Linked DNA regions of Diceros bicornis minor. The protein of the gene in region 4 interacts with the protein of the main gene of each other region in a biochemical or structural test. Links are inferred from orthologs where the notes say so. Each region holds a gene or a part of one and is shown on either strand. Other genes may lie near its edges.

Region 1 (7,862 bases), on a different chromosome or scaffold from region 4:
GAACTTAAGTAACTTGTCCAAAATCACACAGGTAATAAGTGGCAGGACCAGGATTTGAACCCAGGCAGCTGACTACAGAGTCCATGCTTCTCCCTCTACACTTTATTGCTATGAGCAATGCTCAGGCATCTATCTACCTACTATGATATATACATACCCATGTATGTATACATCATTTATATACATAATTTAATTGTATGTAATTAACATATGTTAATTATGTTAACATAATTTAACATAATATTATACATAATATAACATAATTGCCATATACGATTTTTATTTGCTTATTTAGATGGCAGGGTATTTTTCTGCCGACTAGCGGGATTTCACATGGCACCATTGTTCCAAGTTGATTTCTTACTCTAACTGCCGGGCCCCAGGTGTTCGATACATCCAGCACAATGTGATTAAGATTTTTTTTCCAACTTGAAAAAAAAAGGAACATTTCTTTTCAAACCTGAAAAAAATTAATTTGTTTTTAACGAGCCCGGAAGGACCAGCTGCTGAGAAGCCCTGGGACTCTGGGCCCTCCTGCTCACTCTCGCTCTTTTCGTCTTTACACCTCTCAGCCCTTTCTTTGTCTGAGATGATGTTTCTGCTGCAAGCTTGACTGCTTCCTGCCCCCTGCCTGCCACTTGTGGTCTTTGTGCAGAAGTCGTTCTCAAGCCCTGGACAAAAGCCCTTGTCCCCTAGGCCCCAAGTCTCCTTGTCACACACTCCCTGTGTTTCCAGGTACCCTAAGATCCTGGGTCCTGGGTCTGTCCTGCCAGAACATGAAGATCCTGGGCTCACTTGGCACCTGACTCAGGCCCTAACAGCTGGGAGCGCAGAAGCCAGCGGGCTCACCCTGCGGGTGCCTCGACTTGGGGAAAGGGTGGGGACTCTTGAGATCAAGGGCTCCGTTTCTGCGCTCGCAGACCCTCAGGTGGCTTTCTTTCCTGCACTGAAAATCTGTCACATGCAACTGTTTCTTGCAAAGTCAAACTTTGCTTCCCATCTCAACCCACATGCGCACACCCACAGCCACACCCGAGAGAAAAGAATTAGGAAAATGCTTAATGTTGCGAGTACTTGAAGCCAGAAACAAAAAGAGCACTGCCAAGGCCCTCCCTGGCTTGGTGCATGGGCAGGTGATTCAGGCACTGTTTGGGGAGGAACTGAGGTCTGGTGGACAAACATGGAGTTCTAACCACAGGCCAGTTACTAGTCCACGGGAAACATCCTGTTACTATTATAAAGATGAAGTGCTCCTTTTTTTTTTTTTTTTAAAGAACTTTCTAGAAGTCTTCCTTTCCATTCTGATTCAGTTCAAGTCCGTGAGGCAGGAAGGTCTCAGGGCAGCCATGCCTGCAACATTAGCTAATCAGACTCCCAAGAAACATTCCATTCTGCTTAAGAGGGCTTTGGGGAATGGTTTGCTCATGGTGGCTTTTAAAATAAACTGAGGGTTGCCAGGCTGAATGGACTCCCTGCGGGCCTCATGACCTGGTTCCAGGCCGGTGCCCAGCAGGCTTGCCCTCCTGGTGGGATGGTGGACGTGTCATTAAACCCGGTTGCCTTGCCTGTTCCCTGTTCCTTGTACCCTCTGTCCTTCCCATTTTAAAATTGGGGAAACTGAGGCCCAGGAGAGTAATAATAAAAGTAATAATAACAGCCGCACAGCCAACACATAGAGCACTTAACTTATCCACAAACGTCAAAGAGAGGGATTCCATGGCATAGTGGCAAGAAACATACGGTTTCAGATCCTGGTTTTGCCACTCTGAAGCTGTGTGACCTTGTGTCAGTAACTAAACCTCTCTGAGACTCAGTTTCATTGTTTCTAAATATTGATAATGATACCTATTTTACAGGGTTGTTGTAAGGAGTAGAAATAATGAAATACCTAGAGTTGTGCCTGGTACCTAGCAGGTACCTGATCAATGGTCTTTATTATTATCAGGGACACAATGCAGGCCAGTCACAGGATAAACAGCATTTTCCCATCCTGCTTGACAGTAAGAATTACCCAGGGAACTGGTTAAAAATACAGATTCCCAGGACTTCTGCACTCTATGGAAAGGCATGGGAATCTATGTTCTAATGAGGCACCGGGTGATTCCTATCAGGTAATTTTGGAACTCATCCGGGAACCCTCCACTCCAACTTTTTGGGTTGGTTCTTTTGTTCTCTGTGCACCTGGCCCCATAGCTTTTGCTAGAAGGTGGACATGATTAAAAGGTCAAATATCATTATCCATTGTCAAAGAGAATGTGCCTTGAAATTTGCACAGTGGACTTATCCCCAAAAAGCTGTTTGTAAATAAAATGTGGGGTGTATGCGTGAGTGTGTGAGAGCGGGGACATATTTAATGCCTTGGTTTGCTAGTCAAAGGAATGCATTCAATTCAACTAAATAAATGTTGTGTGAGTGACTGTTATGTGCTGAGGATACAATGATAAACAAGCAGCAGGGCCCGTCTTCAAGGGGCTTACTAAGAGTCCAGTGAGGAAGATGGTCAAATAAACAGGTAAGTACAACATTGTGGTTAGATAAGTTTAGCACAGGGAGCTCAGAGCGCCTGGAAGGGGAAGCACACTCAACTCAGGGTTGGGGATCCGGGATGTCCTAGGGGAAGTGACATCTGAGGAGGAGACCTGTAAACTGGAATCTAGTCTCAAACCCTTTTGCAAAGTGAATGATCCTTCCCTAATTTATCCTTGCGTGAAAATGACCTTTCACATCCTGGTAACCCTCCATACATTTATACAACCACACAGCTGCACAAATACTGAGTTCCTGCCATGGGCAAGGCCCTGAGTGAGGTGTTGTAGGGCAACCTGGGGGAGGAAGCCCGGATCCCTGCCCTCAGGGAGTTTACACCACACCTGCTCTGGCTTAATTTCATTTCTCATGTAGTTCATTAACCCAGTGTGATCTGTTTATGACTGAACAGGTAGGCTATTATTCAAGTCTTTGCTCCCTTTACAGAAAAGACTGTTTATTCTCTTTCATCACCATGTGATGGGGAAATCTGGTTCCAACCAACACTCCAGTGCGGACACACATTTCATCCAGGAGAAAAAGTGCATGCTGAAGTTCCCAGAGTTATTTGCAGCCCCGAGCCATGAAGCTGTGGAGGCCTGGAGGGATCTGTGGGGTCTGTAGGGTCTGCGAGTATCCGGGGCAGCATGCAGACCTGGTAGCAACTGCAGGAAGTCAGGCCTTCCTTCCCTCTGGGCATCATGGACCCAAAAGCCTTTCAAATTACCTTTTTCTGCCCCAAGAAGCGGAGGAGGTGCGGAGGAACGGAATTCCCTGTGAATTATGATAATTGCAGCATGTTTAAACAAAAGGTGGCAAGGTGTGTAAGTCAACGAGGTCCCCTTACCTTCTGAGCTTGTCTGTGTGTGTGATCTGGTAGGATCCTCTTAGACCCTTTAAGTGAGGGTGTGTTTCCATCTCTCAGATGGGGAAACTGAGGTACAAGGGGTGCCTGGAGGTTTGCACCCTGGAGGTCTGCAACACCGGTGGTTTGCACTCTGCTGCACATAGAATCCAGCCCAAACTCATTATTCAAAGTCTCCTTCAAACATGAACCCCACAACCTCTCATTCCCTCTTCTCAGAAGGCCAAGCCCGAAGCACCTGCCTTCTGTTTTTTTGCCAAGTTGCTCCCACTTCCTGAGACGCTGCCCCCCCCCCCCCCCCCGCCCCCATCTGCCTGGTGAAATTCAACCCATCCTTCAAAGCCGAGCTCAGGTGTCACCTCTCCTCCTGGTTGGAATGCATCTCTCCCTCCCCACCACTCCTTGGGCCCGGCCCTGTGTCTCATTACTTCTCGTTGGGCAACTGGCTTAGCCTCCCGGATCCTCCGTCCCCTCCTCTGTGCGTGGGCATAGTAGTAACCTTGGCGGTAATCTTTAACCCCTTTCGGGTTCGTGGACTTCTTTGACAATATGATGAAAGCGGCCAGAAGAGCTAATGTTTATTGAGGCCCATTGTATGTTAGGCCCGGTGCGTACAGACTTTTCCACCCATCATCTCATATAATCATCAGTCACGTCTCTCTAGCCAGGTACTAGTGTTATAGTCATTGCATAGATGAGGAAAGGAGGCCCAGAGAGGTGACATGCCTCTCCAGAGGTCACACAGCTAGTACTACTAGCAGAGGCAGGTTTACAGTTTGCCGGAGCTGGAGTCCTAAGCTCTGGACCCGCTCCATTGCCGGCTCTCTGCCTCCTTGGCCCGGGGATGGAGGCGGGGAGAACACAACACACAGCATCTCGCCTACAATTTAGGAGTTCATGCATCCCCGAGCCCACCCACCGGCCTGGTCAATCAGGCCTTTGCTGGGTTGCTGCCTAGATGCAATCCTGGCTGTGCCCTCCTCGGCAGGAATATCGGTCAACATCTGGCGACCCAAACCCGGGCCAAGGAGCGAGGCCGCGGCTGGGCAGCTGCACCGAGGGGGACGCGCGGGCTCGCGGCGCAAGAACAGCGGAGCCGCGTCCTGGGTCCCAAGTCTCAGGAATGTGGGAGGGCTGGGCGGAGAGGGCGGGCGAGGCGCGGGCGCTTCCTCTGCCCGCCGGAGGGGAGCCTCCAGGGCGCGCGCGGGGCGCGCCGCCGCCCCCTCCCCGCCTCCCGGCCGGCTCGGCGAGGGCGGGGGCTGCGGCGGAGGGCGGCGAGGGGCCGCGGCGCTCTGCAGCCGCCTGGCCGGCCGGGCGGGAGGAAGCGATGAATATTCAGAGGGGGAGGGGGAAGGGAGGGGGCTGAGCGCTCGCCGCGGCTCCCTGCAGCCCGAGCCGCATGACGCGCGGAGGAGGCAGCGGGAGCCGCCGGGGCCGCCGGAGCCGGGATCAGGGCGCCGCGCGCGGGGGGTGGGCGCCGCTTGCTCCGCCCCGCGAAGCCCCTGCGCGCCCGGGGACGCGTCCCCCCCGCGGCCGCCGCGCCAGGCTCCGCCGTGTGGCAGCCGCCGCCGCCGCCGCTGCCATGTCCCCGGGGAAGCCCGGGGCGGGCGGAGCGGGGACTAGGCGGACGGGCTGGAGGAGGCGGAGGCGGAGGCGGCGGCTGGAGGCGGCGACGAGGGCGCCCGGGCTCGGGCACACGGCGGGGCCCGGCTCGCGCGTCCCGGGCACGTTCCAGGGCGCGCGGGGCATGAAGCCGGCGGCGCGGGAGGCGCGGCCCCCTCCGCGCTCGCCCGGGCTGCGCTGGGCGCTGCCGCCGCTGCTGCTGCTGTTGCGCCTGGGCCAGGTGAGCCGCCGGGGGCACCGGGCGGGGGGGGGGCGTGAGGGTGGGGGCGGGACTGGCATCCCCTGCACCTGCCCGGTGTGCCCCGCCTGCCGGGCTCGGGGGCGGTAGCGAGGGGCCCGAGTCCTCGGAGCCCCCGTCTTGGAGGGGGCTCGCGGGAACCCCGGCCGGCCTCGCACGCCCGCCACCGAGCCCCTTCCCCGGCTGCCCAGGACCGGAGGGAGGGCGGCGGGATCGGGGTCCCGGGGTGCCCATCGCGTCCCCGTGGAAGCCCCCGCGCGGCTCCAGGCCGTCTCTGGCCCGGCGCTTCCCGGGGCTGGTCCCGTCTGGCCGGCGTGGGCCCGCTCGCCCGCCCGAGGCGGCCGGAGGGGGCGTGTTTGCAGAGGGCTCGCGGCGCGGAGCGGAGCCGGCCTGGCCGACCTCCGACCCGGCCTGCAGGGGCCCGAGGGGCCGGGCCGAAGGGCAGGGCTGCGCGGTGGGCGAGGCACAGGGCCTCCGGGCCGAGGGCACTGCTCTGGGGCAAGTTCCCAGCCCCGGGAAAAGATGGCCCAGCAGGCGGGCCCGTCACCTTCCCAGAGAAGCTGCTGGCTTCCCCGGGTGTTTAATTCGTGCTTTGTGGGCGCCGGCGCTCCCCCCACCGCCCGGTTTTCTAGCTTCGCTTCTCGGATAATGCTGTGTTTGGCGTTTTGGTGACCGACCTTTCTGCAAGCGCCGGTTCCCCTTAATGATATTCCTCTTGGCGGTGAGGCCGGGCAGCTGGGCGATGTTTCCATTTCACAGATAGGGAAGTTGAGGGAAGAGAAGTGAAAGAGCAGAATCAATCACCCAGCCCTTGCCACCGGGGCTGAGCAAGCGGATTCGTCCTCGCAGCCTTCCAGGAGCCTGCTAGGGTCTTGAACCCGCGCTGTAAAGTGCCCTGGCGATACCTCTGTTGTGCATGTTGTCAATGAAAATCTTGCTTGTTTTGTACAGACAGCAGCTGTCAGGAGATGATGTGTGAAACCTGGGAAGTGAGTTGTTGGCTGGGGATGGAACCTGGTTTCAGGGAAAACTTTTCAAGCACAAATACAGGATTGTCTGAGAGCAGAAATGGCAGCCTTGGGGCAGCAATGCAGGCCAGCAGGCAGGACGAGAAGAGAGAGCTGGGTCCCCCGGGCTGAGGTAACTCTCAGCACCCAAGGTGGCTCTGGCCTCTAAGGTCCCCTCAGTTTTCCTCAGCAGGCTTTGAACAGGCTCTCCTGAGGGCCTGGAAGGCAGTGTGACCTCCTGCAGAGACTACTGGGTTGGGTGTCAGAAGACTAGCTCTAAGGCCTGGCTTCAGGGTTGGACTTGCTCTTGAGTCCCCTCCATCCTCAGTGAACAGCATTTGTAGAATGGGTGTACCACCACCTGCCCCGTAGAATTGTTTGAAGGGCTTCCACTGGCCGATGCCTGAAGGAGCTTTGTAAACATTGAAGGGTGTCCAGATGTGATTATCGTTAAGGTACAGTGTGCGTGGACTGACTTCTCCCCTTCTCTGTGAGGAAATTCATGGAGAGCAGTCTGTGAGATTAAAAAAAAAAATTGCCTCGTAATTGAAGATCTCTTGTACCAAAGTTTGTGCTGAAGAAATACGTGGTCTTCATTTATTTCTGGTTTAATTTGGTACATATATATTTTATTACATTATTTTATTTATGTTTTTGCACCAGCCATGGGAGTTGCTAGCTATGCTTTGAATCAGCGAAAAATTTCTTGGGTAAATTTATTTCTTGCCCAATCCTTCCTCGTATTTCAGTAGCATATTGCCACCCTATACTTGTCCCCTATTCAGATATTTCCTTCCTCTCTCACTTGTTCTGTAGAAACCCGAGGACTCTTTATTTCTTGTTTTTGGATACGTTATAAAATAGGAAATCTAAAAGGCTCTCTGAAAAAGCATTTTCAGAATCCACATTTGACAGTTTATTTTGGTATTGGATATTTCAGGGAATCAGTGCATTTTTGGCTGGAGCAGACTTCCAAGATAGCTCAAACCTCTCGTTTTTTCAGATGAGGGTATTGAGGCCCAGACAAGACAGTGGTGGGGCTGAGATCACCCCGCAAGGGACTGGACCGTGCGTTGCCTACTTGTGCCTAATATTTTCATGATGCTTTTTTTTTTGGTCATGTTTTCACTTTCCTCTTACTTTTAACTATAGACAGCGTCCTACTTCACTGCGTACTCCTGAAACTGTGGGTGTAAATTGTTTTTCAAAGTTGAATCGTATTTGAGATTTTTGAAGTTCGTGCATTTAACAAACGTGTGTGAAGGTATCTGACTACTTCCCTAACACTTGACTGCTTTTGTGAAGCTTGGAGTGTGTGTGGGTGTGTGTGTTTTTTTTTTTTTTTTGTGAGGAAGATCAGCCCTGAGCTAACATCTGCTAATCCTCCTCTTTTCTTTTTTGCTGAGGAAGACTGGCCCTGGGCGAACATCCATGCCCATCTTCCTCTACTTTATATGGGACGCTGCCACAGCATGGCTTGACAAGCAGTGCGTCGGTGCAACCCCGGGCCGCCGCAGCGGAGCGCGTGCACTTAACCACTTGCGCCACCGGGCTGGCTCCTGTATGGGTGTGTTTTAAAATGGAATCAACTGTAGCTGGTTAA
Region 2 (7,678 bases), on a different chromosome or scaffold from region 4:
TAGTGAATGATAGGAATAGTGATTTCAGTAAATAAGAACTTTGTGCTGAAACCAACAAGTTGAAATTAATAGGAATAAATAGAAGGTCTTGCATTTAATTTCAAAAATTCAATAGCATAAGTACAGAATGGAAGAGAGCTGTAATTTTCACATTCAAAAAAATCCTGTGGACTTTTTCATTAACCTAAACCTTCACTCAGTATCCTAAAACGCTTGCTGAGCAACAGGCACTAGCTAGGCCCTGTGGGGTCTTACCACCCGACGCGCCGGCAAACGCAGCCTCGTTGGCCTGTAACATGTAGCTCAAGGGAGAAAATTCCCGCTGACGAGATCCCCTCGGGAGTAGACACAACACTCCAAGAAGGTCCTAGCTGATGAAATGACCTAGGGAAGAGGGAGACGAGACGGAGGAGTGACAGGGAAACCAGGCTGTACAGAAATGCTGAGTGGACACAGGATGTTTAGTCTGGAGAAGAGAAGATCTTGGGACTTTGATGCTTGTTTTCCAGTGTTTAGAGAGCTATTGTGTAACTACAAGAGGAGGCTTAAGACTTTTTTGGGTTATTTCAGTTTGACCAATGGGGTGACAGCTGGAGAGGAGCAGATTTATTTTGATGTCTTCAAAGGTGTTCCTGCCAACTCTGGGAAAGGCGGGCTCTAAGGGTACCTCGCCCACGAGCATTCCAGCAGAGGCTAGCTGACCATCTGCTATGTGGCTGCTCCCTTCTAGAAAGACTACATTCTGTCAGAGACAGGAATAGATGATCTCTGAGGATCCCTCTGACGCCAAGTCTTTATTTTTATTTTCCAAATTAAGTGGGAAGTGATATAACTTTTCACATACCTTTCTTGAGCCTTCAGACCAGCAAGAATTTTGCTAGCTACAACCAATGAGTTTGTTTCCCCATCTTCCCCACCTTTATTGGCTGAAATAACCTTAACTTAGTTAACAGAAAGTCACAGTGAATACACTCCACACATTAAAATTCACTACTCACCCATCTGGGGTAAAATTAAAATTCACTGCTCGCCCATTTGAGTTATTAAAACCTAGACTGTATCTCCCTTCATTCACCAGTTGGACCTATAAATACCAGTTCTCATCAGAACAGACAAGAAGGGAAAATCTTGCCTCAGAGTGAGAGAAAGGGCGAGAGGAAGTCCACAGACCAGAGCCCGTGGGATGGAGCACATATAAGCCTCCACACACTGTCTGCAGCTCAAGGGGGAGGACGGACGATCCCCTGAGCTGTGTGAATGCCAGAGGAAGGGAGGCACCTCTGAGCTCCTTGGAGCTGCCCTAATATTTACCGTGGGTGTATCTCCCCAGCTTCACGGTCAAGGCCAGCATCTTCCGGACACCTGCTATGTTTTTAGGTGTGCCCAGATTTCATCCTCCAGCTAAGAGTTACGACATCCTCAGCTGGCCATTTCTGTTGTCAGCTTATGACCAAGGAACACGTTGGCCAGCAAGTTGCATTCAGAACAATAAATTGTACAGTTCTAGGGGAAAAAAAAAAACAATGAAATATTTCTGCCAATAAGTTGCTATCACCAAAAACTGCATATTTACATCTTTATTTCTTGCAAAATACATCATTTTGGCATCATGTCGACTGCTTGGTTTAGTTTGAAGGATGAAGTCTTACTGCTTTAATATCTTGTAAGCTTATATTTATAGAGATTGACAAGTAAACGCAGATACAAATTCAGTTTTAGTTATTACCACTAACCAGAAATTATGTTACAAAGAGGCAATATATCTTGTTTTTAAGTCGAAGTGCTTATATGGTCTAAAAATTATTTTGAGTGGTAACAACAGCCGCTAGGAAGAACTGGCTAAAACAGTTTCAAAATTGGTTGTATGACCTCAGAGTTGTGGAGACTATATTTATAGGACTTCCAACTGTTACTAACAGTGATGCTGTTACTCAGTGAGCAGGAAAAATAAGTAACGTTCATACTAGCGTCTAGTAGGTTTGCCAAGTAGAAGAACCATCATTATAAAGAGCAAGGTGTAATACAGGTATTTTATCTATAAAAGTATAATGAAAAGCATCATCATTTCTCATGCAGGCAGCTGCCTTCTACCAATCTGGTAACAAAGGCGTGCTGGGTAACTAGTGACCACAATGACGACCACAAGAGGAAACCAGAGCCGATTCCCTTTTTCCAGCTCATTTAGGGCCCACCTGCTACTGTGTTTGGACACCGAGCACACCCCACCCAAGGCTGGGCTGCTTCCACAACGAGCTCAAAGAGACCAGTCCAGGTGGTGGCCTTTTACTTGTGGAAAGAGTGACGTTTCACAGCTGAGTTTTGGTGGTAAACCTGCTTCAATCAATTTTAATCCAGGTGCACAAACCATTTTAACATAGATGCATGACAAGGCAACTGAGAAGTACCATGAACACTCCAGATGCGTGAATTCATTTAACCTCACCACGATCCTGTGAAGTAGGTTCTGGCATTACCCCACCTGAACAGAGGAGGAAATGGAGGAACTTTCCCATGGTCACACAGCTAACAAACGGCAGGGGAGGGTTTGAACTCGGGCAGCCTGGCTGGGCTCAAAGTCCAGACACTTCACCATCGGGCGCAGTACAGCCTCCCTGGGAAGGCGTGCAGGTGAACTTGACCAAACGCTGTTGTGTGCCAGCACTGTGTTAAGCCCGTACGTACATCAGCACATCCAGTCCCCCAGCTGGGTCATCCGGACACAGGCAAGAGTCACCAGGCCCACTGCTGTGTGTTGTGGGCACGACAACCTGGCCTGGACGTGGTCTCTGTGTCCCTTAGCTTGCGGGGTGTAGCAGTAACTTCTCGTGTCATCTCTTCCCTGCAGGGGCGGCATGGTCCAGACCAGTGAGCAGTATGAGTTTGTGCACCATGCTCTCTGTCTGTACGAGAGCCGGCTTTCGGCAGAAACTGTCCAGTGATTCTCTGAAGATTCGCCCGACCGTCCATCTCTGGGGGTGAGGAATCAATTACCCACCTGAGGCTTCTAGAAGGAGTTTCCTGAGGTGGAAGGAAGGAGAAGCCCCGACGCCACACTGCAGCACGGACTGTGGAAAACGGCAACATATTAGCGATTGCCAGCCCTCGCGTATGTGAGTGCATTCGTGAGCCTCCCCACGCTATGATGGACGTCCCGAGCTGGTGGAGGTGTGACAATGTCTCACACAGCTGTGCAGGATTCTGTTTTGTGTCCTGACACCTGCCACACAGAGTGTGTGTATGAAATGCTCGGTGACACGTGTTGTCCGGTGACAACGGGAAGAGCTGCTGGAAAGAGGATGCTTGTCTGTGTAGACGCTTCCGTGTTTGCAAACCTGCCTATGAACAGACGTCAGCCAGTCACGCCCCTGTCCCCAGTGCTGTCACCTTCCTCAGTTACCAGAGTCTTGCCACTGAAGGTGCAAGCAATTGATGACAGATTTTTAACAAATAAGTCCTTGTTTTTGAAAAAAAGATCAAAAGTTGTAACTATTTTATATGGAAATGTGTCTTGATAATATGCCCTGTTGCAAGTGTATTGATCAGTATCTCCTGTCAATCAACCAAGAGCACAACGATTGTCATTGGGTGTCTATGTCCTTACTCTCTATCCTTGGGCCTCCAGGTGGCCTCTGCTCCGGGACTCTACCCAAGGTATTTCTCATTGTGAGTCATTTCACCTTCAAAGGGAAAAACAAATTTGTAGCAACTACGACGTATCAAGAATTTTAAACACCTGTTTCTTTTCCTAAGGAGAAACTTTTGAATATGCTGTCTACCTGGAGTCTCTCCCAATCAGAGGGAGCCTTTGGGAATGATGTAACCTGTCCCATTTCCAGAGGTTCTTCAAAAGGATGCTGCCATGCACATCCTTAAATTTCTGAAAGGTTTTAATCCTCAAGAGACAAATAAAATTTAAAAAACTACCCTCAGCAACACTAGATGTTCTGCTCAAATATGAATTTTAATGCAGCTGTGTTGACTTTGTTTCATACTGCCAATAAACTACTCTTAATACTAAATATTGAGTAAAGCGTCTACTTTTTTTCCTATTTGGATAGAGGCTGTTATCTTTTGGGAGAAGCCTGAAGTAGATAATGTGGTGGGTTTAATTTTAGTCTCTGCCTCTCCCCAGTGGAGATGACTATCTGAAAACGTAATGTTATTGCTGAGAGATAAGGACCCAGAAGTGCCGTCATTGTGCGGTCTTCCTCGACAGACTCCCAGCACATCTTTACACCAACAGCTCGTGTCTGTGTCTTTATATCCCTTGTCAGAGACCCTCAGAAAGTACACGGTCTGTGTTTATTCAGCAGAATCATATCACCTGAAGAGGTGTCATGTTGTAGGAACACTCAGTTATCTAAGATCACAATTCCTTTCTTCCCTCTTGAGGTTAACAAGTAGCCATAAGCCAGAGGCATGGTAGGAGAAAACTTATGAGCTTTATTCTGCTCCTGGAGGCTAGAATTTTTCTACATAAAACAAGAGAGGTAGTCAGGATCCCTTCTTTCTAAGGAAGCAGACAGAAGGACAGTGGTGTAAACCTCCCCCACAATTCAATAGGAGGAAGCGCTCGTCACCGACTCCCCACCACGAAGGATTTCCTTCCTCTACTTTGCTTCTCTTATCTGGGAAAATCTTTTTCCCCCCAAGCGAAGCATGAGCAGTTGTTAAGTGGAAAATGGAGGCTGAATTTTACATGGCGATTCTTACCTGCTTGCTCTTCAGGAACTCAGGTGAGTGGGCCCGCCTTGGTGTCCTGTCTTCCTCCAGGCGCCCGCGGAGGAGCCTCTGTCCTTTGAGAAGAGTCTGGAAGAAGGCGGAAATGGAGCCAAGTCTCCATGGCAGTTTAGCCCAAGACAATGAGGAGGGGGATAAAAGGAGCCAGCTCTGCCCACACCTCAGGCCCCAGCGCCCCGGGCAGCTCCTAAAATGGCATCTGGACAGCCGAGAGGGGGGACCTGAGGAGACGGTTTTTGTTATTATCCAACAGTCTGTGACACGCTCCAGGCTTTTCCCCAGCCGGGTTATAGTTTTGTTTTCTTTTGTGTTAAAGAAAGAAAGTATAAGAAACATAATTAAAGGGGCGAAGAACTGGGGTGTGTTTTGTTATTTGGAAGGAAAGTCTGAACATTTTCATGGGAGAGCTGGGAAAATTAAGTAAAACTCAGAAAATAGTTTCTGAGCCTGAATATCCCACTTTTTAATACTGATGTTTAACAATTGGATGTTTAATTTTCTTACCCTGAGAAAAGCTGATTTTTTAATCTATTAGTATTTGAGAGAAACTGTAGACATTGTCACAAAATAAAGAAATGCTTCTCTCCAGGACTAAAAGAAATTTAGTTTGTGATAATCAATACTTTGATTGGCTACGAAGTAGTGCTTAGAGGGGTGGGAAAATGTGTTTTATTTTTGGATAAGTATATCCAATTTTTAAATTTGTGTTCAAACCATTCCATTTGTATACAAATACTTATTGCAAGGCTAACTTAAGAGTTGGGAAAAGGGTGTTTTTTCTAGTAGGGGCAGAGGTGAGATGGGAAAAGTAAAGTCAAAACTGGGCTTTTCATGGCTTCAGCCTATTTAACTAACTGGGCTAAAACATCACACCATATTTTTGGGTGATTTCATTTCTTTTCCAATCTCCCTTTCCTTATTTCGGTGGGGTGTGTTTTCTTCCCAAAACCACGTGAAAGTAAAAGAAAGGGAGCTAAGTGTGACGTTTGGACATTTTTACATTTTTACATGGGATTTTCAATCACGTGTTGAGTCTGGAATATTCACTTGAAATGACAACAATGGCAGAAAATGAGTAAACCCGGCATTTTGTGTGGCTGATTTGTGGGTGGGTTGTTTTGTTTTCTGGGGGCCTGGCAATTTGCGACATGGTACTTTATGAGCTTTTCATCTTCCAGAGGGGTTTCAGATTGTCCACGTCCAGAAACAGCAGTGCCTTTTTGAAAATAAGATAGTTGCCGTGGGCTTCTGCAATGGGACCAGCCAGAACCAGCAGTGGACATGGACGGAGGATGGAAAGCTCCTTAATGTTAGATCTGCGCTGTGCCTGGGCGTCTCCAACTCCACGAAGGGCCCTTCCCAACCGGCCATCTTTGCCCACTGCTCCCAGGCACCCCGATGGACCTGCTACGAGCAGGAAGGGTTCCTCCAGGTGGAAAATGCCTCTCTGTTTCTCAAGAAAGAAGGCTTCAAGGTAGTGGTCAAGAAAGGCAGGAAATACCTCCATAGCTGGATGAAAATAGACGTCGACAAAGAGGGAAAACCAGTCAATGAAAGCCTCTGCTTAAAAAAAGGTGAGCTATTCCTTTCAGAATCAATTCTGAAAGTTCTGCCTAATGTCTTGGTTTTTCACATTCAGGGGAAATCCACATGCCCCAACAAATTGCTATGGAGGATCCACAAGCTAATGGAAATGGGGTGTGTGCTACCTGTTGATGTGGAAAACTCCATTACCCTTGTTAAAATAAGCCCAACTTTTCTCTTTCTGTCTCTCACTCTTCCTTCCCTTCTCTTCTTTCTTCTTTTATTAATTCAACAAATATTTCTTGAGTTTCTCTTTTGTGCCAGACACGAGGCACTTTGGTTAAGTACTATTAGATGTAGGAATACAGGCCAGGGCACAAACACAGCATACATGTGGAAGGACTAAAGCCACTGAACAGGAAGTTAATAATTTTGCTGATGTAGACACTTTCCTTCTCTGATTGTGAGGAGCTATGAGAACACCAAGACGGTGCTTGAGAAGACTAGAAAGATAATAAACAGTGCTTTTGCAAATCTCTTGTACTAATGTTTAGGGGTAGAGATCTTTTGGAGGTAACATACTTTTGAAATGGTAAGAACCAATGTGCAGCCACAGAGTTTTCGGATTCATTGACCATGATGGACACAACCCAGATGGTAGACAGGTGTCGACCTTGTATACAGGCACACAAACTCCTGGTGCACCACACAGTTCAGACCTGTGCTAGGAATTTTTATTTGTGGATACAGCTTAATTTTCTATTTTATTTAATCATTTTATTATTTATTTACTTCTCTATTAGAGGTTTGCTTTAGGAAGTCAAGAAAGATAAAACTAACAGAATATTATATATTAGATACCAACGGACCTTACATGTCACTGGAGAAATTATCTAGAAATGAAGCCCTTCATTAGGGAGACTGAAATCTGCCAAGATTAGGTGACTTGTCCCAGATAATTTAGTGGCACGGGTCTGACTAGAACCCAACTTCTTAGCTCCTTGTCCAGGGTCCACTCCCTTATACAGTGTTTCCCAAATGCTTGACCACAGACGTCTGCCCAGCTGGGCACGTAAGAATTGCCTGGTGTGGGAAGGGAATCGTTCCCATCATTTCTCCCCCATTACCACCTCTGAGACTTTGTTTCAAGAAATCTGGATTTGGGCATAATACTTGATGTTTTTTAAAAAGATCCCCAGATAATATTGATCCATGATCCCATTTGTGGATCAGCATCCACAGTACCTTTATATTTTTCTAATCAGGTGTTGATTTTTGAGGCCTATATGAGTCTTTCCACCATGCTGATCTTCGGACAGTTTTCTGTCATTCATTCGTTTCATAAATTAACCAAGGATTTAATTTGATGCACTTGAATGCTGCGGGTTCTTCTACAATAGAAGTTGAGCGTTAT
Region 3 (7,117 bases), on a different chromosome or scaffold from region 4:
TTTTCTTCATAGTGCCCTGCCAAAAGTGTGTTTATGTTATTTGTTTAGCTTGTGTTTCCTCCAAGAACTTAAGAGAACTTGTCTATCTTGTTCAAAGTTATCCTCAGTACTTTGTCCATCATAGCGGTATTTAGAAGCCACTCACGAGATGTGCTGAATGAGTGAATGGATATGGCTTCCTTGGGTCCATACCCTCCAAGGGCACTAATGGATTGCAGCAGGACAGATGTTGCCAAATGGATTCTTGCCCACCCTGGACCCCCTGGAGGTAGACATGAGCTCTGCAGGTTGTAAGTACCGCCTCCCCACCCCCCCCCCAACATACAAAGGAAGTATATGTATTCATACCCAGGGTCCTTTCTTCCTCACCTGAATGGCTCCTTTTTGCACACTGGCTGGCCACTCCTGATCTAACCCAACCCCAAGGGCTGTGTCTAACACAATTTAAAACCCTGCCTGACCTGCTGTATTCCACAGGCATTCCACAAATATTTAGTTCTAGGTGCAAAAAATACAGCATGAACAAAACAAAGGCCCTGGCCTGCATGGAACTGACGTTCTGGAGGGGGAATGGATGCGGAAGTATTCAAGGATATTTGTATCTGCAGACCACTGGCCTTCAGCTTTCCCTACCCTTCTTGTCCTCCAAGGCCCATGTCAGGGCCACCTCCTCAATGTGGCCTTCCTGGTAAGCCAGCCTTTACCAAGCTCCCTCAGTGCGGACTTGCACTTACTGCTCTGAGCAATTGTGAGTTGTTCTACACTTAGCACTACAGTTTTACTGTTATTCATCTCAAACTCCATGAGGCCATAAAATTCTGTCTTTCCTATCTTTCATGTTCCCTACAGCTGAGAAACCACAGCTGGGACTTGAACACTTTTTGACCAATTGAAGACAAGGAGCCACTTTTTCCAAAATCTGATATGGGGACCTGTGAAGCCACTGAATCATTGTGGTAGTTTCCAGAACATACATTTTACTCAGAAATCTATGGGGATAAAGTTAACACTTAACCAGTAGGTAATTTAACATATTGCCAACTAAGACAAATACACACAGATTATGGAACGGGAATGCACAATGCACAAGAATTTCTTTGTGTGAGCTTGCTGGTAGGCAGCTTTGGACATACTTTCTACTGGCTGTGTAACCTTGGGTAAGTTAACGAACCGCCTTGGGCCTCAGTTTCAGGACCTATGAGAGTTGTATAATATAATGGTGGTTCTCAACCCTAGGATTGAAAACATGAATGTGCATGAGTGCTTAACACAGTGCCTGGCACATAAGTGCTCAAAACATATTAGCTGCCCTTGTTAAGTTCCAAGAACCTTCCTCTTCCATTTGTTAATACATCTCTGTATTTAGGAGCACTTAGTGGAAAAGTCTGTGGTTAGACTTGGGGCTTCAATTAAGGGTCTTACCACACTGCCCAGATGACCAAAAAGGGTAAGCAATGACAGGCCAAGGGGTGAAATGTTACAGAAGCAAAATGGGAAAATGGAACCCTTTTCAATTAGCTGCTGCCATTTATCTCTTCCTCAAGAAGAGAATCTTCCACTACCTTCCTTTCTTCATCTGTACAATGAGGTGTAGCCATCATATCTGGCTGCAACGCTGTAGTGAGATCCTGGACATAAAAGCACTTTGTAAACTCAAGAGCACAATGCACCTGAGTTACTGCTTAACAGCATGGGTTCTGGACAATCTAAGATGAGTGACCTTAGACAAGTTAACATCTTCTAGCCTCAGTCTCCTGTAAAATAGGAGCAATAAGAATATCCATCTCATGGGATTGTAGTGAGGAATAAGTGAAACAACAGAAAGTATCTCGGCCTAGAATATCAGAAGAGCCCGACTATTTACAGTTATTATTATGATTACTAACCTATTCATTGGACTCCTCACCCCCAGGGGTCAAGTGAAAGCCTGATGTAGCCACACCAACACTAGCCCAGGAACTGGGCTCTGCAACCAGCTGGGTGACCTTGGGCAAGTCGCTGACCCTCTCCAAACTTTGGGTTCCCATGGTGACAAAATGAGAGCATTGGAAGAGAGGATCCCTGAGCTCCTTCTAGCTCTTCCACTCCGCTGTTAAGGTCGCCAGAACAAAGGCCACCCGCTCCCCAGCCTGTCCTCGAGGGGCCACAACTCGAAATTCCTGCTGCTCGACTCCCTTTGTAGCGCGACAGCAGGAGCGCCCGGGTCTCCATCCCGGAGACATGCGTCCACACTCCGCTGCCACCGCTCGCTTCAGCAGTAACTTGCTTCTACAGCCCCTCGCTGCCCAAAGTTTCCCCGAGCACCGGGAGACGCAGCCATAGGTCAACCGCAGGAAGACCAGGGGTGGGAGCGCGGAGCCTGAGGCCATGGTCCCGGGAATCCCAAAGCTGCCCCGCGCCCGGGCGAGGAGTGACAGGTGCGACGCGGGACGGCGGGGCAGCGGGACCTCGGGCGGCGCGAGGGGGGCGGCGGCCCGGCGCTCTCCTCAGGCCGCTCCCGCTGGGCCCCCGCGACGCCTCCGACTCCGCGCTCCGGCCCCACGACTCTTGCTCCGCTTCCAGACACGCGGCGCCCGGAGCGGATCCCACGGCCTGCGGAGCGGAGCTGCCGGGCGGGGGCCCAAACCCGCAGCGCGGGGACAGGTTGGGGACCGCCCGGGCGACCGCATGTGCTGGTTCTTCCCGCGCGAGCCGGGGCCGCCGGGGGGGGGGGGGGCGCACGCGCACCCGCGCGCGCCGCCGTAACCCCTTCCTCCCCGCGCGCCCCCGCACTCCCACCCACCCACCCACTCCTCACCGTCGATGTCCCCCAGGGTCAGCTCGTCGCCCAGCTCCGTGAGCGTCTCCATGGTCTCCAGACCGCCCAGCTCGCCGCTCTCGTCCATCGCCCGGCTCGGCGCGGAGGCCCCCCTGCCGTCCCGCTCAGGGAGACGCGGGGGCGGTGCCGCCGCCACAGCCCATGACACCCGACAGCCCCTGCCCGGTACCGCCTCACCGGCTGGTGCCAGCCGCCGCCATGTTTGCGCCGCGCGGGAGGGGGCGGGGCGGGATTCCCCCGCCCCCACCCGCGCCCTCTGCGGCCCCGCCCCCAGGCCGCGCGCCCCCTTGTTTGTTGTCAATGGGACCAGGGTCGCCGTGGCCAATCGGCGCGCGAAGCGGCGCGTGGGGTGATGGCGCGTCATCGATCAGCAGCTCAGATTTGCATAGCGAGGCCCCGCCCCTCGCGGCCTAGTAGCGACAGCAAGGAGAACCCTCTAGGTCCTCAGCCCAACCTCCTTCTCCTAACTTAAAGGAGCCGCTCCGTTTTCCGTTGGGTCTGCTCCACAAGCTACCCCCTCCACCGGCCAGGGGTTGAAGGGTTAATACGCTTCACCCCCGCCCCCTGGTCGCCCCCGGAGCAAGTTGTAAGCACATTACATCATGTTCCCAGCGGCCCCCCCCCACCCCCGCCTGCCCGCCAGGGAGAGCGGGTAGGATCAAACCTGGCCACCCCAGTGCTTGAGAGGAGTCGCGTTCCTCCCAAGCCCCTTACAAAGGCGGAAACAGAGGCTCCGCGCTGCCCGCGAACTGTCCAAGTGCGGAGCGCATATTACAACCTCTGCGCCTTTGCACCTGCCGCGACGACGCGCATGCTCCAACGGTTCTCGCCCTGGTGCCTCGGAACCGCCTGCAGACTTTCAAAATAATGCCGCTACCCAGGCCACCACAGGCCTCCTGAGGTGGGGCCCGGGCACGAGCATTTTGATAAAGTTCTGCAGGGACTCTGATGCGCAGCCCACCCGCGGATTCCCATTCCTTCAAGCACCTCACTGCCCCATCTTGCAGCTGTAGATGTAAACGAATATGCAAACTTCTAGGAATGTATCCTAAGGAATAAAATGTACGAGTGCTTAAAGAAGTGCACAAGTATGTGTGTTCAAAGATGGCCATCACAAATCCTCTGTAACTGGGAGAAATTGGGAAGCCCAATAAGGGACTGGATGAATCCACACAATGGAATACCATGGCATCGTTAAACATTACCTACATAAATGTATGTCTATTGACAAAGACTTTCACAATATATTGTTAAAAAGGAAAAGTGTGTTTCCTGCCAGTCTGTGAGAGGCAGCTGTTGCTTTGCGGTTAAGAGTGCACAGGTGTGTGGAGGCAGACATATGGATCCACTCATGCAGTGTGACTTGGGGCTGGTTACATAATTGCTCTAAGCCTCAGTTTTGTCACCTCTAAAACGGGGAAATAGTGCCCCCTCATAGTTGAGAAGATTAAATGAGATTGCACATTCTTCTGACAATATTTATTGGACATCTCTGTGGCAAAAAGACAGTTCCTGCCCTCTGAGGGCTTCCAGTCTAGTGAAGAAAACAGACATTAAACAAAAACAAAAATAAATAATAGATAATGGTACAAATGATCAAGGGAAAGTAAGGCTGTGGTGAAACTAACCAGGAACCTGACTTGGGATGTCAGGAAAGGTCTCTGACATTTAACATAAAACCTAAAATTATGAGGAGAGAACTGCGTCTGGTATAGCGAGGGGAACAGACAACATGGACAAAGGCCCTGAGGCAGAAGGAGCTGTTGCCAGCCAGCACTTGGCATAAGGCCTGGCATAACGTAAGTGCCCATATAAGGTAGCTACCGTTATCCAAAAAATAGGGATCTACGTGCTCTATGATGGGCAAAAGAAGCCCCAACAGCTGAGTGTCAGTCACGGTTATGGGAGTGGTGGGATTTAGGATGAATTTTACTTTCTTCTTGGCATTTCAGTATTGTCTAAATTACTTTTTATTTTTTATTTTTTTGGTAAGGAAGACCAGCCCTGAGCTAACATCCAATGCCAATCCTCCTCTTTTTTGCTGAGAAAGACTGGCCCTGGGCTAACATCCGTGCCCATCTTCCTCTACTTTATATGGGACGCCGGCACAGCATGGCTTAACAAGCGGTGCCTTGGTGCATTCCCGGGATCCGAACTGGCGATCCCCAGGCCGCCGCAGCGGAGCGCGTGCACTTAACCGCTTGCACCACCAGGCCGGCCCCTAAATTACTTTTTATAATGAACATGTGTAACATAAGGAAGTGTCTTATTTTTGGAGGAAAAAAAAGGCAAGAACATTCTCTTCATTGTGTACATGCAGGAGAGTTGGCGTAGACTATACCAGTCTCACCCTGAAACAGAAAACCAAACCCTGCTGCCTTGCTCTGGACTGAGCACTGAGCTGGACAGTGCCATCTTCAACTGCACCTCAGTGGCTCTCACAGGGCTCCCCACACTGCAGGGTGACTGTCTGCTGGCCTACCATACGACTCACTTTGGTCCAGTGCCCTCCCATCCCATACCAGAGCCTCAGTAACCCCCCGCTGAGGGCTGCCCGAGCACCAGGAGCAAGGTGGGCACAGAGCCTCCCACTCTGCAGCTGTTCCCACGGCTCCCGCCTGAACCTGCCCCAGAGGCTGTGGTGCCTAGCAATAGGGACCAAAGTGGCCTGAGGGGACACAAATGAAGGCTCAGCAGAAACTGTGCAAGAAAGATGGCTGCACTAGACCTAGCCTCAGCAGAACACTGACATTCTCCCTCTGGCCCTGGATACCACCTAACTGAACATCTCTTCCAGTTAGCACTTGCCCTGGCCAGGAGAACAGAGGCTGGTGCTCAGGGGTGGAGCAGCCTTAGACATGTCACTCCACAGGACCTGGGTTCTTCATCTGAAAAGGGTAGGATTGGACTAGATGACCATTATGTCCAGACATCCACCACAGAGTGGGCACTGACTACAGGTCACAGAAGAGAACTTGGCATGTTTTTTCATTTACTACCTTTCACGCCTCCCCTTTTAGGCCTCTGCTCACAGTGCCTGTCTCCTCCCTCCTCCCGCAATCTTTTAGGATTCAGTTCAGGTGTCACTTCCTCCAGGATTAAGCAAGAGCATGTACCCCACAGTTCAATCCAGAGGTGAGGCTTGGGGGTGGAAAATAACAAGTTATGATTTGGATAAGCTAAAACATAAGGACTGAGGGTTATCAGGTGGCAACAGGGCAGGTGCCATCAGCTTTGGGGTCTGAGGATGCAGTCGCCAAGAAAAGAGCAGAGAGGAGAGACTAAGCTAAAAAACTCTTCATTTAAGGGGCAGGTGAAGAAAGAGGAATCAGGAAAAGCTAGAACAGACTCAGACTGAGGGTAGAGAATGAGGACAACAGGTGGCCCAAAGCCTGGGAGGCTCATCTCAAGGGGGAGGAGCTGTAAACAGCACCTCTCTGAGGGCAGTGACCTGGGACTGCAGAGGAAGATGTGGGGCTGGGATAAGGAGGGAAAAGGGCTGTGGACGGGGGAGATTTTACCCCCAGGGGACATCTGGCAATGTCTGGAGACATTTTTGGTTGTCAACTGAGAGATTGCTACTGGGACCTAGTGGATAGAGGCCAAGAATGCTGCTAAATATCCTACAACACACAGGACAGCCCTCCTCACATACACAACAAAGAATTATCTGGCCCCAGCTGTAAATAGTGCCCATTGTTGAGAAACCCCGCCTTAGAGGATATTGGGGAACTCCCCGACTCTCCAGGGGTGCCTCAGATTGGGCCTGGTAGACAGAAACAACGTCCAAGACCACGGTGAAGACATCACTGTTGCCACCACTGGGCACCCCTGGCGCTGGTCTGGCCACTAGAATCCCCCCAGTGCTGCCACTGCCTCCAACCAGCACAACTCCCACACAAGCTGGTGCATCTGGTTGGTGGCGCTTCAGTCACAGAACCGAATCCTAGCTGCAAGAAGGCTGGACAAAGAAGTGCCCTCAGGCCTTTATAGGTCCTGGTGGGGCAGTGGGCAGGTTCTGCCTGTAGTAAGACTCACGGTGGAGTTCCGAGAACAAGTGACCACAACAATCAACAATGGCAGCAAAGGGAAGGAGAAGGGGAGAGCAGAGTGGCTCTGTTTGTTTCTTTGAAGGTGTCAGACGGGAAAACTTGGGCCCATTTGAGGGCGGAGAGGAAGGGATCAGCCAAGATGGCGAGGCTGAAGGTGTTGAAGGAAGAGCCCAGGAGGATGGAGGTGCCAGATGCGGCAGAGGTGAAGACAGGTAAGACTGGGGCCCTCTCTTTGTCTGTTCATACA
Region 4 (6,857 bases):
GATTCCTGCTTAATACAAACCTCATCAGAGCTGTTTTAGGCATCTCTGAGGAGGAAAAAGACTGAAGGAAAGGTGACTAGTCAGTACAATAGTAATAGCATAATACAATAGCAAAGTGAGATGAGGAATCTCAAGGCAACGTCAGACAAACCCAAACTGAGGAACCTTCTATAAAATAACTGACCTGGCCGGTAATCTTCAAAAGTATCAAGGTCATGAAAAACAACAACAAAAAGACTAGATCAAAGGAAATGAAGGAGTCATAACAACTAAATGCAACAATTGACCTTGAATTGGATCCTGAACCAGAAAATGGAGATTAATGGGAAAATAGGCAAAATTTGAAAAAGGTCTATAGATTAACTCTATTAACGTTACTGTCTTGATTTTAATAATGTACTGTGTTTCTTTAAAATGTTAACATTTAGGGGGTGTTGATGAAAGGCATACAGAAATTCTTTGAACTATTTCTGCAACGTTTTGGTAAGTTCTGAAATTATTTAAAAAGTAAAAAAAAAAATAAAAACATGAAATTTGGGTTTGATGAATAGGAGAGGGGATGGGTTTGGGAAATATGTTAATAAGATGACAAGAAGTTGCCTAGATCTGGAGAGAAATGGAAAAATGAGAAAATAACAGGGTTCAACCCTGCAAGAATGGTGGCAGTCCTGAAGCAAGTCGAGTCTGGAAGAGAAACAGGTTTGGGAATGAAAAGGAAGACTTTCATCGGGCATGCTGATTTGATGTAGCAGCTAGCCTCCAAGTGAAGCTGTCCAGCAAACACTGAAACCTTGGAACCGGAACTAGGGAGAAAGGCAATGGCTAAGGATGGAGATTTTACATAAAGGAAAAAGGTGACACCACAGGAATGTGATGAAGTGACTAAGGGAGATGCTGTAGAGAAAGAGGCGTGAGAAGGACAGCCCAGGGAAGGAGCCCAGTGGGGGCAGGCAGAGCTAACCACAGAGATTTCAGAGGAGGGATCAGCTGAAGAATGCTTACACCAGAGGAGAGATGTTTGCGCAGAGCTCTTCTCCAACATATGAAGAAGTGTTACGAGAAACGTGTAAGAGAGGTATTTTGGATTTTAAAAAAAGGTCAGCTTAAATCTTAATAAATTATTAAACATGTTCTGACCCCTATTCCTGCACATTTGCTGCCTTCTCAGTTTCTGCTGGCTAGTTGAGTTAGTCGAAATGGGAATGTTCATTTGTACCCTTCAAATTGTTACTCGCTTGTGTTATTACCCACTGGCCTCTCTTGTGAACTTGACGTCACAGGTAAGAACTGGCTTAAAACTTAGTCTAGATAGATCCAGAGGCTGGAGCTAAGCCAAATAGAAATGGGAAAAACTCTATCATCAGAAAAACTCTAACAATGCAGTGAGCTGTGAGGTAATGAACTGATGGAGAAAATGATTCCTAGACCTCCTTCCAACCCCACAGTGCAGCAAGCTTCTGCTTTTTTTGTTGTTGTTTTCTGTTAAATGTTCATGGTATCTACTTCATACAGCTGCTGCGAGGATGATAGGAGATAAAGTACATAAAAGCGCCTGGCACAGAACAGATGTTCAGTCTACATTAGTTGCTTATGAATCTATGAAGCGGACTAGGAAATCCGAGTCCAATCTCCATGGAATTACCAATCTCAGCCACTAGAGGGGAATCTCAGTCACACTCCTTTGATGAGACAGCTACAGCCTGAGGCAGCAGGCACCCCGCCGGATACACCAGCCTTTCCTATGCCGGGAAACTCACTCCCACTCAGGAAACCTGGCTCCATGCTGAACTCCAGGGTGTTTTCTCTGAGTCACTATACTCTGCCACAGTTGCAAAATGATCTGGCAAAAGTCCCTCAAAGGTTTGTACTGCTTACTGAGTAACATCCAAACTCCTCGCCAGAATCCAAGGCCTTCCTCAATCTGTCTCCTTGCTGCTCATTCTGTTCCTTCTTCTCGATGCCTTTCCTCTATCCTGACCTTCTGAAACCCTACTTCTTTTTCAACCACACAAATCCATCTCCTCCATTACTCCCTCCTCACTCTTTAGAGTGATCTAACCCACCCCTGAGCTCACATGCCATATAATACATCCATCTATCTTGTATGAAATTGATTTATGTATGTGCATCTTTTCTCTTCAATAGATTAGAAATTCCATGAGTAGAGAGGCCAGTGGGTAACCTGACCAGGGTAACACAGCAAGTAAGCGGCAAAAATGGGAGTCTAACCCAGGCAATCTGGCCCAGAGAGCTCTTGCTGTTAACCATTATTTCACACTATATAGTAATCTTTCATTAACCACAGTGCCTAGCTCAGAGCTTTGCACTCAGTGCCATTCAGGAGCTTACCAAATGAATAACTAAAAAAAACAACACTGATCTAATTAGCACCTCTTCAACCTTCACTGACTTATGGGCTATTGGGAACCAGCAACTCAGTCTCATTAATCTGAATTAGAGTGCCTGGCCATAGATCTAATTATGAGCAATTTCAGAATCATAATTACTGTTCCATTTTGTCTCTTGATCTGTAATGTCTATAAGGACCTACTCCCAGCTTCTCAGGGAGAAAAAAACAACATGATTGCTTACTGAAGCCTAGGAAATGTGTTTTTGTGAAGCTTCCAGCTCACATCTTCACTGTGAGGTAAGGGGGATGGACTGGATGGTCTCTGAGGGCCCTTTCTTCAGTTTTAAAAGTCTATAATTCTGAGACAATGGAATTAAAAAGAGCCCTCTGCCTCTGTGTCAGGAGATATCATTTTGAGTCTCATCTCTGTCATTATTACAGTGATCTTACCCAAGTTCGAGTCCCCAACTCTGACTCCCCATCCATAAAACTTGATTCATTCAAAATTTTTGAGTGTCTGGGTGCCAGGCACTGGAAGATACAGTAATGAACAAAACAGACATGGGCCCTGCTCATCCAGCTAGGAAAACCAGAGGACACCTATATTGACGGGCTGTCCTAAGGAAGAAACTGAAGATCAAAGTATTGTGTAAACTATAAAGTCTAGTACAGAATCAAAAGATGATGATCTTGACAGGATTCCAGTTTTGTCAAATCTAACCACAACAAAACCACAACCTATTTTGCTCTTTTTGAGAAAAGCCTGATACTGTATTTTAACCAAAGCCAGTCAACTTGGCATGCAGCTCTCTCGCCTCTCCCCCGCTTTCCATGTAAAGGTAGGGTGGGGTTATCTGTCTTCGGGGTACTCCCGGGGTACATGCACGGCTCGGTTGCTGGCAGAGGCCAGGTCCCTAGCGCACTCCCGCAGGTCTCTGTCCGAAAGCCATTAGGCTGGGTTCTCCAGCTCTCAGCTGTCTGAGTGACTCCCAAGTCACCAGCGCCGGCTCGGGCCTCATCTTCCTCATCACAGGCCACACCTGTGAGGAAGCCCTCTCCCACAGCTACTGTGAAATACGGATAGGATCACTGAGCATCAGAGGTGAGGGTTCCCTTAAGGTTCCATCTCGAGCCCGGGGCTGCTCCTTGGGCGGGGCCAGGCGCCCCGGTCCTAGCACTCGCTTGCTGGGTGGCTCTGGGTAAGGTCACCCAGCGGCCCTACTGGCTGTTCTGCATTCTAGGGGAGGGTCTGGACAATCTCAAGGCGGCCCTGGGAGCTTCTAGCTTAAATGGAAGAGCCGGAGCCGCCGGGTACCATGAACCACAGCACCAGCGGCGGGAAAGCCGGGCGCGCAGGGCCCACGTGACGGGCGCGGGGGCGCGCGGGGGCGGGCGGGGCGGGGCCCGGCGCGCGCGGCTCCGCGGTGACAGGGCGGGCGGGAAGGGGCGGGGCCTCGGGCGGGGCCGCCGGGGGGGCGGCGGGCGGGCGGGAGGGGAGGAGTGGAGATGGCGGCGGCGGCGGCGGCTCAGGGGGGCGGGGGCGGGGAGCCCCGGGGAGCTGATGGGGTCGGCCCGGGGGTCCCGGGGGAAGTGGAGGTAGTGAAGGGGCAGCCGTTCGACGTGGGCCCGCGCTACACGCAGCTGCAGTACATCGGCGAGGGCGCGTACGGCATGGTCAGGTGAGGGGGCGTTCCGGGGGAGGGGGCCCCGCGGGAGGGGGCAGGGAGGGGTGCTGAGTGCTCTCTGGGCCGTGGAGACTCCGAGCGTCCCGAAGAGGCAGGGGCTCCAGGGGGCTGGAGAGCGTCCCGGGGCGATGGCTTCTGAGTGCTTTCGGGGGGAGGGGGCGCAGTGTATTCGAAGGAGAGAGGGCCTGGGGGCTTTGAACCCACTATTCTAGAATGAAGGAGGGCCATCTGAGTACGTATATGTGCGGGAGCTGTGGGGACCTTGGGCACCCTATAGACACGGGGTGAGGCGAAGAGAGTAAGTATTCTTGGGGAGGTAATATCCTTAGTGAAGAAGGAGTGAAGGACCCTTCTTTGGGGAGAAGATGCCTTGGTTCCCCCAGTGAGGCCTGCCAAGGAGTTTGGGAGAGAAGAGCGGGGCTCAGGGTGGGGCAGGGCTTTGGGCCTGGGGCCAGGGGCCCAGTGAGCAATGAGCAGTCCCGGAGTGCCTCCCTGCAGCTTCGAGGAGGGCTCTGGGAGTTGTCCCAGCCCTGCTGTGTGCTCTGGGCATTTGTTCATCTGGGAACAGCTCTGCTGCCCAGGTCCCTCGCCCTGACACCCAGGCCTGCCTTATCCCTTTTCTCCAGTGCCTCCTGTGACTCCCTCCTTCTCACTGTATTTGCCTCACTGTATGTCCTCCACTCATCTCCCACCCCCTGGACCTGTCTTGGGATGAGGGAGCCCATCCTGGGCAGGGGAGGATAACGGGTCAGGGCAACTAGAATGGAAATGGTTGAGGAGAGGGGAAGCCAGTGGTCGGTCAGTCTCTTCCTCTGTTTGTGAAGTCACTGAAGGGCTGGCTGGCTGGTCCCCAGCTTTCTCCCTGGAGATCCCAGGCCTTCACAGCAGGAAGGAACCAGCATTGTTTATGACTTGGCCAGAACCCTCTCTTGCTCCCTTCTCTCCCTGCCAAGGCCTGGGTGGGGCCACCGGGCCTGTACTCCTCCTTTGTAAGGCCACACCAACAACATCTCTCTGGCCCTCTCAGCTCAGCTTACGACCACGTGCGCAAGACTCGAGTGGCCATCAAGAAAATCAGCCCCTTCGAGCATCAGACCTACTGCCAGCGCACGCTGCGGGAGATCCAGATCTTGCTGCGCTTTCACCATGAGAATGTCATTGGCATCCGAGACATTCTGCGGGCGCCCACCCTGGAAGCCATGAGGGATGTGTATCCTTCACCTTGGCCAGATGGCTGGCCAGGCACAGCCTCAGAGCTGGGCTGGGAGAACATTGGCTTTCTTTCTGTTTCCTTCTTCCCTACCACCCTCCAAAACAAACCCAGTAAAAGAAATTTTCCAGCAGAAAAGAGGCCACAGAGTGTAAGAGGACCAGGAGGCCTCAGATGAATCCTGGCCTGCTGCAGCCATGCAGTGTGGCCTTGGGCAAGTCTGTTCTCTACGCTCTGCCTCAGTGGGGGGCTGGGCAAGATGGTATCTATGGGAGCTTTGTCTTCTGACATCTGCAATTCTGTGCTGGGAGCCAGCCTCTGCCCACAGTCAGTTCTTGTTTAACAGATGATGATTCTTCTCTGGGTCCTCAGACTGGAAGGAAGAAAGCTGGCCTTTTTTGAGGGCCTACTATGAGTCAGGTGCAGTGCATGCCAAGTGCTTTAACATCTCTTATTCTACCTCCCAACTGCCCTATGAGATGGGTCAATCAGCTCCATTTCAAAGATGAGGACACTGAGGCTCAGAAAGCCTAAAATCAAGTGCTTCTGTTGCTGCCTGCTCCCCTCCCCCAGATGAGAACCAGTCCTTCTTTCTCTGAGACTTCCTGCTCAGAACCCCACCCCAATTACCTGTGGACTTGAACCTTGCCCAGGGAGGGACAACCGTGCCTTCATAGCCCTCCCCCCATATCGCTTTCCTAGTGTATTGTCCGCTTCCTGCCTGGCTGTTAGCACCTTTGTAACACCCGCCACCTCTCCCCCACCACACCCTACCCCCCCCCCCAGTCAGTCCCAGTCCTCCACCCAAGACTGGGGATTTGTAGCACAGTGTCTGCAGCCCCTACCACAAACTGTGGGCAGGAAATCTCCACACTCACCCCCAGCTTGCTGTGTGACCGTAAGCAAGTCACTGCATCTTGCTGGGCCTCTCATCTGTAAAACAGCAGGGTTGGTCCAGTTCTCAGAAGGCCCTTTTAAGGCTGATTCTAAAGACAGTCCTGACTCATTCTTCCAGACACAACCAAATGACATTTATTTACTTATTTATGTTTAATCTTTGTTTTATCCTAAAATATAAAAGGACATTTACTCCTCTATCTTCTGATGTATGTCCAAGCACTCTTTGAGTAGGAGTGTGCTCTTGGGAGTTTCTCCTCATATGTCTTGCACAAACCATTCCCATAAGGCAGGCATTTATTTTAAAGCAAACATTTATTACATGCCAGATGATGTTCATACATTATTTCATTTAACCTCAACAGCCATGTGGCTCAGGCATATATAACAGCAGTACTAGTTCTTGTTTGCTGAGCGCTTACAACATGGCAAGCAGGGGCAGGCTGCTTTACACGGGTCATTTCATCTAATATTCACAACCACTCTAAAGAACAGTTCTTCCCCCTGCTTTACAGATGAGGAAATCGAGGTGCAGAGAGGTTGAGGTCACGAAACCCATGAGCAGTGGAGTCAGGGTTTCAGACACGCAGGTCAACTCCAGAACTACTGCTTTTAACTGGGCAGTTCTCCTGCCTCCCCCACTTTATTAGTCCCGTTTTCCCAGGAGAGAAACTGAGACCACAGAACTGAAGCGCTTTGCTCAAGGTCACCAGCT

The links.
Region 1: of the proteins of MAPK3 (region 4) and PTPRJ, one has a biochemical effect on the other in vitro, tested with the Homo sapiens proteins (2 studies listed by IntAct, with this or other methods). The link is inferred for Diceros bicornis minor from reciprocal best matches to the Homo sapiens genes MAPK3 and PTPRJ.
Region 2: of the proteins of MAPK3 (region 4) and PTPRB, one has a biochemical effect on the other in vitro, tested with the Homo sapiens proteins (2 studies listed by IntAct). The link is inferred for Diceros bicornis minor from reciprocal best matches to the Homo sapiens genes MAPK3 and PTPRB.
Region 3: of the proteins of MAPK3 (region 4) and SREBF2, one has a biochemical effect on the other in vitro, tested with the Homo sapiens proteins (2 studies listed by BioGRID). The link is inferred for Diceros bicornis minor from reciprocal best matches to the Homo sapiens genes MAPK3 and SREBF2.

The regions. Positions count from the first base shown.
Region 1 is NC_080770.1:22,581,637-22,589,498, reverse strand, and holds the start of PTPRJ (receptor-type tyrosine-protein phosphatase eta), read left to right. Parts: upstream 1-4,855; 5' UTR 4,856-4,973; coding exon 4,974-5,234; intron 5,235-7,862. UniProt on the Homo sapiens protein: Tyrosine phosphatase which dephosphorylates or contributes to the dephosphorylation of CTNND1, FLT3, PDGFRB, MET, KDR, LYN, SRC, MAPK1, MAPK3, EGFR, TJP1, OCLN, PIK3R1 and PIK3R2. Plays a role in cell adhesion, migration, proliferation and differentiation.
Region 2 is NC_080756.1:953,852-961,529, forward strand, and holds the start of PTPRB (receptor-type tyrosine-protein phosphatase beta), read left to right. Parts: upstream 1-4,666; 5' UTR 4,667-4,681; coding exon 4,682-4,736; intron 4,737-5,918; coding exon 5,919-6,314; intron 6,315-7,678. Other genes in the region: PTPRR (receptor-type tyrosine-protein phosphatase R), read left to right, coding at 2,846-2,939. UniProt on the Homo sapiens protein: Plays an important role in blood vessel remodeling and angiogenesis. Not necessary for the initial formation of blood vessels, but is essential for their maintenance and remodeling. Can induce dephosphorylation of TEK/TIE2, CDH5/VE-cadherin and KDR/VEGFR-2.
Region 3 is NC_080764.1:8,684,423-8,691,539, forward strand, and holds the start of SREBF2 (sterol regulatory element-binding protein 2), read right to left. Parts: upstream 3,009-7,117; 5' UTR 2,886-3,008; coding exon 2,798-2,885; intron 1-2,797.
Region 4 is NC_080765.1:21,907,662-21,914,518, reverse strand, and holds the start of MAPK3 (mitogen-activated protein kinase 3), read left to right. Parts: upstream 1-3,856; coding exon 3,857-4,029; intron 4,030-5,062; coding exon 5,063-5,245; intron 5,246-6,857.